2 linked regions of the Neurospora crassa OR74A genome follow. The protein of the gene in region 1 binds, or shares a complex with, the protein of each later gene. Links are inferred from orthologs where the notes say so. Each region holds a gene or a part of one and is shown on either strand. Other genes may lie near its edges. The genes, in order: NCU08503 and NCU09465.

The links.
Region 2: NCU08503 (region 1) and NCU09465 share a complex: the UniProt entries of both Saccharomyces cerevisiae proteins name them as parts of the 2-(3-amino-3-carboxypropyl)histidine synthase complex. The link is inferred for Neurospora crassa OR74A from reciprocal best matches to the Saccharomyces cerevisiae genes DPH1 and KTI11.

What each region holds. Positions count from the first base shown.
Region 1 is NC_026502.1:3,432,511-3,436,742, reverse strand, and holds NCU08503 (diphthamide biosynthesis protein 1), read left to right. Parts: upstream 1-1,506; 5' UTR 1,507-1,720; intron 1,721-1,740; exon of another isoform or gene 1,741-1,787; 5' UTR 1,788-1,893; coding exon 1,894-3,273; 3' UTR 3,274-3,446; downstream 3,447-4,232. Other genes in the region: NCU08502 (40S ribosomal protein S6), read right to left, coding at 1-15, 76-243, 374-736, 815-821, 891-970, 1,193-1,198; NCU08504 (hypothetical protein), read right to left, coding at 3,638-4,232. UniProt on the Saccharomyces cerevisiae protein: Catalyzes the first step of diphthamide biosynthesis, a post-translational modification of histidine which occurs in elongation factor 2.
Region 2 is NC_026502.1:4,367,733-4,371,531, forward strand, and holds NCU09465 (diphthamide biosynthesis protein 3), read left to right. Parts: upstream 1-1,713; 5' UTR 1,714-1,889; coding exon 1,890-2,084; intron 2,085-2,195; coding exon 2,196-2,249; 3' UTR 2,250-3,243; downstream 3,244-3,799. Other genes in the region: NCU09466 (hypothetical protein), read right to left, coding at 3,462-3,799. UniProt on the Saccharomyces cerevisiae protein: Required for the first step of diphthamide biosynthesis, a post-translational modification of histidine which occurs in elongation factor 2.

The sequences.
Region 1 (4,232 bases):
CTGGGCGTACTCAGACTGTTATGATGGTTAGCATTTCTGCAGTGCTTTTCAACGAGGGGGTTGGGCAAGACTTACAGCCTCCTCCTTGACCTTCTCGGCCTGGCGGCGCTTGAGAGCGAGACGGTGTCTCTTGTGCTGGAGGCGCTGGGGAGTGACGAGGCGCTGGATCTTGGGAGCCTTGGTGTAGGGCTTCTTGCCTTCACCCTTGGGCTGGACCTCGCGGCGAATGACGTACTTGCGGACCTATTCGTCGTAGAAAAAGTGGATAATTAGCCTTTGGTGTTCATCTCAGACTCTACCCGACGAACTGCGCGAGGATCATCGCAACAGCTCGGGGGCAGGCGATGACGAGATTGCGTAGAGAAACACATACATCGTCATCCTTGCTGAGGCCGAAGAAGCGGCGGATCTTGGTGGCGCGCTTGGGGCCGAGACGCTTGGGGTGGACGACATCGGTAAGGCCGGGGATGTCCTGCTCGCCCTGCTTGACGATGGCGAGGGCAAGGACGGAGAGATCAGAGCCGACGATGCAACCGCGGACGGACTTTCTCTTGCGCTCACCGGTGCGGCGGGCACGGTAGCAGGAGTGGCCGTCGGAAAGGAGAAGGCGGACACGGTTGGGGGCAATGACACCCTGCTTCATGGGGAAACCCTGCTTGTCGTTACCGCCGGTGATGCGGAGGATGTAGCCCTTCCACTCGTCACCAAGGGGGTCGGCGGGGACCTCAGCGCCCATCTATAGTCGACGTGTCAGTTTCGGGTTCGGTCATCGTAGTTGGTTTCGATGTGTCGTCGATGTGTCGGGAAAACTTACGCGCTTCCTGTAGTGAGGCTGTTAGCGACATGTCTTTGGATACCAAATGCAGCTTGTAATGTGATTTGCCACTTACTCGATGAAGTGACGGAGCTTGCGCTCATCCTCGACCTCGATCAGCTTCTGCGAGCCGTTCGCAGGGTACGAAATGTTCAGCTGTTGGTGGGCGTGGGGTCAGCCTCATGTCCATGTCTCCATTCCCATCATCAACATTGTCGCGGTGGTGATGTTCTGGCTCCTCTTTTCCCTCCTCCAAGTTCCCATTTTCGCGACCTCCAGGTGTCGAAATTTGACATTGGACGCTCGGACTCGTGAAAAAGCACAGAGACGCAGTCATGCCGTAGCCATGACGCCGTGGATATCGGGGAGTCGTCGTACCTTCATTTTGGCGGTATTTGGGGCTGAACGACCGGAGTTGGGTGTTGCGAATTGAGACGACTCGAGAAATTCCGAAGGGGAAGATTTTGTGTGGGTGGTGACCGCTTTTGCTAAGGACAATACGGTCGAAATCTTAGGGCACAATTTCCGGGGTATTGATTGGCTGCCGTCTCAGCCTGACCCGCTTAAAAATCTCCCGCTGCGCTTGGACCAACTGCCAGCCGCGAAACTTTCCACTTGCACAAGTTGACCCATGAGCCCAGGCCTACAAGTAAGCATTTGGAGAAGTGGGGCTGGGTACGCTTTGCCGGATTGGGGTTTTGTACCTTTGATGTTCCCAAGTCTCAACGACAACATCCACGACGACATGCTATGGTAGAAGTGAGATGAGGCCAAGCTTGACCGAATGATAGACATAGAATACGCTATGTTCAAGGAATCTACAATTGAATAGTTCTGCAGACACAATATATTGTGCTCTTCTTCTGCTGAAAGTTTGTTGTTCAAGACTTTGGTAAACCCCAGAAGGTACTTGGCAATTTTCACTTTGACAAATCCTACCTCACCTCACTCACTTGAGAGATATCAACCTCAGAAAGCGTGACGAGACACTCAACTTTTTCGCAACACCCTTGAGCCTTACAGACCCGAGTTTGGATATCATCATTGGGCTCGACTCAACAAAATCACAAAGGTTTAACATGGAGGACGACCGCGCCCAAGTCGACCTCGGCATCGCCGCCGACATCGACGAGATGAACCCTCCCCCTCCCCCCTCCGTCCAGCAGAAACAACCCAAGAAGCGTTTCCTGGGCCGACAAAGCGCCGCCGCCGGAAAGTCCTCCTCGTCCTCATCCAACAGCACCTCCCAACCCGCCGGGGCCAACACCTCCATCGAAGACAGCGGCGCCATCCAAGTAGCCCAACCGCGCCGCGCGCCCCGGATGCTCAACCAAGTGCCCGACTCGATCCTGCACGACGCCGCCCTAAACGAAGCCATCGCCCTTCTGCCATCCAACTACTCCTTCGAGATCCACAAGACCATCCACCGCATCCGCACTTTGGACGCCAAGCGCGTGGCCCTGCAAATGCCCGAGGGTCTGCTCCTCTTCGCCACCACCATCTCCGACATCTTGACCCAATTCTGCCCCGGGATCGAGACCTTGATCATGGGCGACGTCACCTACGGCGCCTGCTGCATCGACGACTACACCGCCCGCGCCATGGGCTGCGACCTGCTAGTGCACTACGCGCATTCGTGCCTCATCCCCGTGGACGTCACCAAAATCAAGACCTTGTACGTCTTTGTGGACATCAGCATCGACACCTCCCACCTCTTGGCAACCTTGGAACGCAACTTTGCGCCGGGTAAATCCATCGCCATGGTGGGCACCATCCAATTCAACGCCACCATCCACGGCGTGCGCTCGACGCTGCAAAAAGCCGGATACGAAGTCATCATCCCGCAAATCGCGCCGCTTTCCAAGGGCGAGATCCTGGGGTGCACATCCCCCAACTTGTCCCAGTTCCTCACCTCGTCCGGCAAGCAAGTCGACATGATTCTGTACCTGGGCGACGGCCGCTTCCACCTCGAGTCCATCATGATTCACAACCCATCCATCCCCGCCTACCGGTACGACCCTTACAGCCGCAAACTGACGCACGAAACGTACGGCCACGAAGAGATGCAGGACGTTCGCCGCTCTGCCATCCGCCAGGCCAAGACGGCCAAGAAATGGGGGTTGATCTTGGGTAGTCTCGGACGGCAGGGGAACCCCAATACGTTGGGTCTCATAGAAGAGAAGCTAAAGGCCAACGGCACGCCGTTTGTCAATTTCTGTCTTTCAGAGATTTTCCCGGGAAAGCTGGCGATGATGAGCGATGTCGAGTGCTGGGTGCAGGTGGCGTGTCCGAGACTGTCGATTGATTGGGGGTATGCGTTCCCTAGACCGCTGTTGACGCCGTATGAGGCGCTGATTGCGCTGGAGGAGAAGGAGGATTGGGGGAAGGGGGCGTATCCGATGGATTATTATGGTAGAGAGGGGTTGGGGAGGACGAAGCCTGCTGCTATGGAGGTTTGAGGGTTGTGAGACTCGGGGTGGTTGGCTGTATCTGTACTATGATGAATTTGGGATTTAGGGCGTATTGGTTATACAAAAAGGAGGTTCATCTGTTTTTTTTTTCTGCATACGAAGAATATTACTTACAAAATATGGCAAGTGAAATGTGAACAAGTTTTGGTTGTGGTTTGGTATGTATCCAATTGATTTGCGTGTACGTATACAAGGTAGGTTATGTCAACCTTTTTGTTCAATCACAATGCACAAGAAGCCAGCCCTTTATTGCTCAACCTGGCTGCGTTTATATCCATCCGTCTATCCAGTCCGTCCAGTGTCCTTATCCTTCCTAGTCCCATTCCCTCTCTTTTCTTCAGTCAATGCAATTCTACCTTTGAACAGATGCAACCCTTCTCAGGGGTAAATACGACGAGAGACCTGATCGCCAACCAAAGCCCAGTTTCCTCCTATTCATCTCGCCTGCTGCTAGGTTATCATTAGCTGTAAAGGCGGAGCCCGTCTCCCTCTGCTGTTCTATGTCCTGTTCTTGCGCTTGCACCACCCTTGGCCTGGCAGTAACAGCAGCGACCGGCTTCTTCTGATGACTCCTCAGGTGATCCTTGGTCAAAGCCATCAGATGCGGCACCGTGGCCGTCTCCTTCGCACCCTGGCGAATCTCAGCCGCTGTTTGCGCCGGTAACGCTTCCATGAGGATATCTGCTAGCTGGTTATCCAGTTCCTCCTTCCGAGCAAAGCACGCTGCGACTGCGTTGAGCCCCGTGCTGGGCGTGCGCATCTCCCGATCGTACTTGAGGCGCTTTTCCAGGGGCACCTCGACGTCCCAGTGCTGCCGCCACAAAGTCAGGGGTCGTACGTCGCGCGGAACGGAGACGGCGAGGATGTTCATGATCTCCTCAGTCGTGGCCTTGATGGCCTTCTCGGTGGCGTCTACTTGCTCAATGAGCCAATCTAGCTTGGCTAGG
Region 2 (3,799 bases), about 940 kb from region 1:
ATCAATACAAAACAAGCCACCACAACAGTCACACCCTCCTCTTCCACCACTTCCACCTCCACCTCCTCCACAACCACCACCGTCTACTCCTCTAGCACCACCAGCAGCTACACTTCTTCGGGCGTCACCACGTCCACTTCCACCTCGACTTCTACTGCGTCCCCGTCTTCGGTGCCTAGTGCTGCGGCTGGGAAGGTGCCGTTGCAGGGACCGGCGGTGGGGTTGGGTGTTTTTGCGGCGGTGGGGATGGTTTTGTTGTGAGAAGAGGTTTCCTAGTCTTTTGGGTTAAAATGTTTGTGATGTCTCGGGGCTGGGTTGAGTTGTCTGGGTTTCGGTTTCGATGTTGATGGTTGGGGGTGTTTGGTTGTTTGTTTGAGATGGGAAAGTAAACGAGTGAGCGAGGTATTGGCTGGGATGTAATGCTGTGGAATGCGTGGTGTCTATTTTCTGATGATGAAGAGTTGGGAATAGAAGGACGGTATGGTATAGTTCGGTGGTAGTGGTTATCCAAATCATGATGTTGTTGAGTCCGCTAATGTTGGTTGTTGAGCACACACGAAGGGACTTTGGTGCTGGTTTCATTTTCGTTATTTGGGGAGGTTTGGGTGAGGAGATTCGCGGAGACTGAAGAGTGAAGCATCGAGTTAAGATCGAAGGGATGATTTGACAAGGGGAGACGTGCGGCAGAGCTTGAATTCAGGGTAATGATGTTAGGGGATTGGGGATAAGTTCCTGGTGAGAGAGGAGGAGAAATGGAGGCACAACAGCATCAACAACAGTATTGGGAGGTGGATCTGAGGATGGAAGTCCAGATAGTTGGGGTTTCGTGAGAACAAATCAAAGAGGAAGTGTGGGTAGCGGTACGAGTGGGCGAAAGGACGCGAGGTTCTTGAAGATGCAGTTCTTGAGGTGAATGTTATGTGATGATGGCCAGAAGGAGGCAGAGAAGCATGAGGAGGCGTATCTGGTACATACAGAAAAGAGTTGATAATGAGTTTCTTTTCCTACTTAATCTTTCGGTGAATATGACCTCCAAGCGTCTCAACTCGTTCGAAAAAAATACTCTACTTCTTTCGACCAAAGAAAAGAAAGGGAAATGATGTCAGGAGATTGACCACCACTTCAACACGCAAAACGCAAAAAGAAACACGAGATGGTTGCTGGTCGCAGATGCATGAATAGCAAAAAGCCAAAAAGATATTGTGGATGACCCCAACCCGATTTGAACGGATAACCTTTCGATCTGGAGTCGAACGCGCTACCGTTGCGCCATAGGGCCTTGTTGAAAGTAAGGTTCATACCTAGGCTTTATAAGTAAAAGATGAGAGCCCTGCAGCCAGTGACAACATGCTCATCTTCATGCTCTTCGGTGATATGCAATCTCAGAAAAGTTTTTCGAGCCTTGGGGATAGCTTGGTTCTCTTTTGCCATTATATAAATGGATTCTGCGCTTGGTCTCATGGCATGTCTTTTGCGTAGCATGACTACAGCGATTGAGGAAGATTCGCTGTAGTGACGAAGCAATACGAGGTCTTGGTAAGTTACACAGCTTTGACCTACACGCATTGCCCAATCTTGGCGTACTACACGGTAAGATACTCTGCCCACCCCCACACTTCCATCCGCGCGCCGCACGCGCCAAAAGTTCACTGCAGTTCCCGTCACATCTGACATTTTGCCCCTCCACTGTCCCGCTCGCCGCGCTGACTCTTTTTTTTTCCCTGTCCGTTCCTTCAACTTTCCAACATATCATATCATCAGCCTCCAATCCAACCAACACTCCCAACTTTTTCGCTCCACCATCCAAACGATACTATCTAGCCCAGCTCGCGACATTTGCAACCCGAACAGATCCCACAAGCCGCGAAGTTTCAATCGAAATAACCAAAATGTCCGACGAAGAATACTCCATCTACGACGAAGTCGAAATCGAAGACATGACCTACGACCCAGCGCTGCAGACGTATTCGTACCCCTGCCCATGCGGCGACAAGTTCGAGATTGCGCTCGCCGACCTCCAGGACGGTCAGGACATTGCCGTTTGCCCGAGCTGTAGCTTGATGGTCAGGGTCATTTTTGAAGTTGTGAGTATTGCCATTTTCTGTGTGTGGGGGGAGGGACCAGGACATGGAGGCGAGAAGAGTTTTGGGTGGAATGCAGCAGTGTTGCTAACCAACGGATGATTACCTAAACAGGATAACCTCCCCAAGGCACCGGATGCCGCGGCGTCTATTGCTGTTTCCGCTTAATGGGGGACTACGAAGTCGAATGAAAAATCTAAGAGGCGCGGAATATAGAAGTGGCTCGCAACGAGGCGCTCATGATTCCGTACACCGAGGTTGAAGGTTAGGATAACACCAGCCTTTCCGACATCAACTTGCAACCAAAGCCACAATGATACAGCAGAAGCAAGCCGATTGCTTTCTCGAGCCCAGTCCAGTTCATACCAGCCGTCCTCGCCCTGGTTTGCATCGAGATCACGCCCCGCTGGCACAGCCAGCCAGTTAAACAAGCCGACCGAGCCAATGTACCAGTCGACAGATCCTCTGCTGTCCCCCGCCGATGCGAATGACCCTCAACCGGCGATAATGATAACCAGAACCAACTCGATTTGATTTGATCCGAGATCAGATCGACCTCGTCCAGAAAATAACAGCGTCGCTGCCCGGCCGCCGGGAACAAAGCAAGCAGAGCGACCATGACCTTCCAGGCCCCTGGTGCCGTTTACATCCAAGGATTCGTCGGTCGGATTTGCCAGCAGCTGGGTGAAAGCATTCAAAAACAAAGGGGATGCTTCATGGGTGGGCCTGGCTTTTCGCTGCCCTTGGCTTTTGTCTGCGACCGTGTGCTTTGGGCGTTGGGTGTTGGGCATCACAATCAACATTGGGACAGGCGTTTTCTACGTTGCAGCGGTTGATTTTGGGCGTGCTTCTTGGCTAGGATGGGATATCAAATAGATCGAAAGAATGGCGGGGCGGAGTGCGAAGGCAGGGGCTTGATTTAGATAGGTGCTCGGATGGCTTCAAATCGCGCACTAGATGGACGTGTCTCATGATCGGAAACGTGCGATGGAAGTGATAGGACTTTATCAACGCTTTGGAATCTTGTGTATATTACTTATATAGGCGTTGGGGTTGGGATATCTGCTTTGGAATTGGTGATCTGGGAGTTATTGCTTGAAGCTCTTTACCAAGTAGGAAACTACAATGACAGTCCTAAAGAAAAATGAGCATTCAACACCTGCCACGAGAATCTTGCATTGACTATCCTCTTTCCAACTTTCCATCTCGTATTAATGTAGAATAAGGTATGCTCATAATCTGATGTGATCGATATAACCCCATCCAGTTAACTCTTCCCCATTGCTCCTCCACGTCATCCCTCCATTCTCTCTCACCCCATCAACCGTTTCCATCCCATCAGTACCCCCAGGGCCTCACCCTCATGTCAATGTCAGGTACCTAACCACCCAAAAACCCCCTCCTCTCATTCCTCTTCCTCTCGCTGCTCAGCGCATCAAGCTTAACCGCCACCAAACAACATTCCACCACCGACGCCTTAGCCGGGTTGGGGTTGGGACTTGACTGAATACGCAGCCGCCACTGGCCGGTTTTGACGATCCATTGCTCGCCGCCTAGTGGTGATGAGGTCGAAACGCTGGTCACTCCGTAGGGCGGACTGGAGTCTAGGCGTCGGCGTTTTCGAGGGTTGGGGTTTTCGTCGGGTGATGATGATTGTTGGAAGGGGGAGGGTTTGGTGCTGGGGTTGATGGAATCGGGGGTTTCAGCTGTTGAGGGGC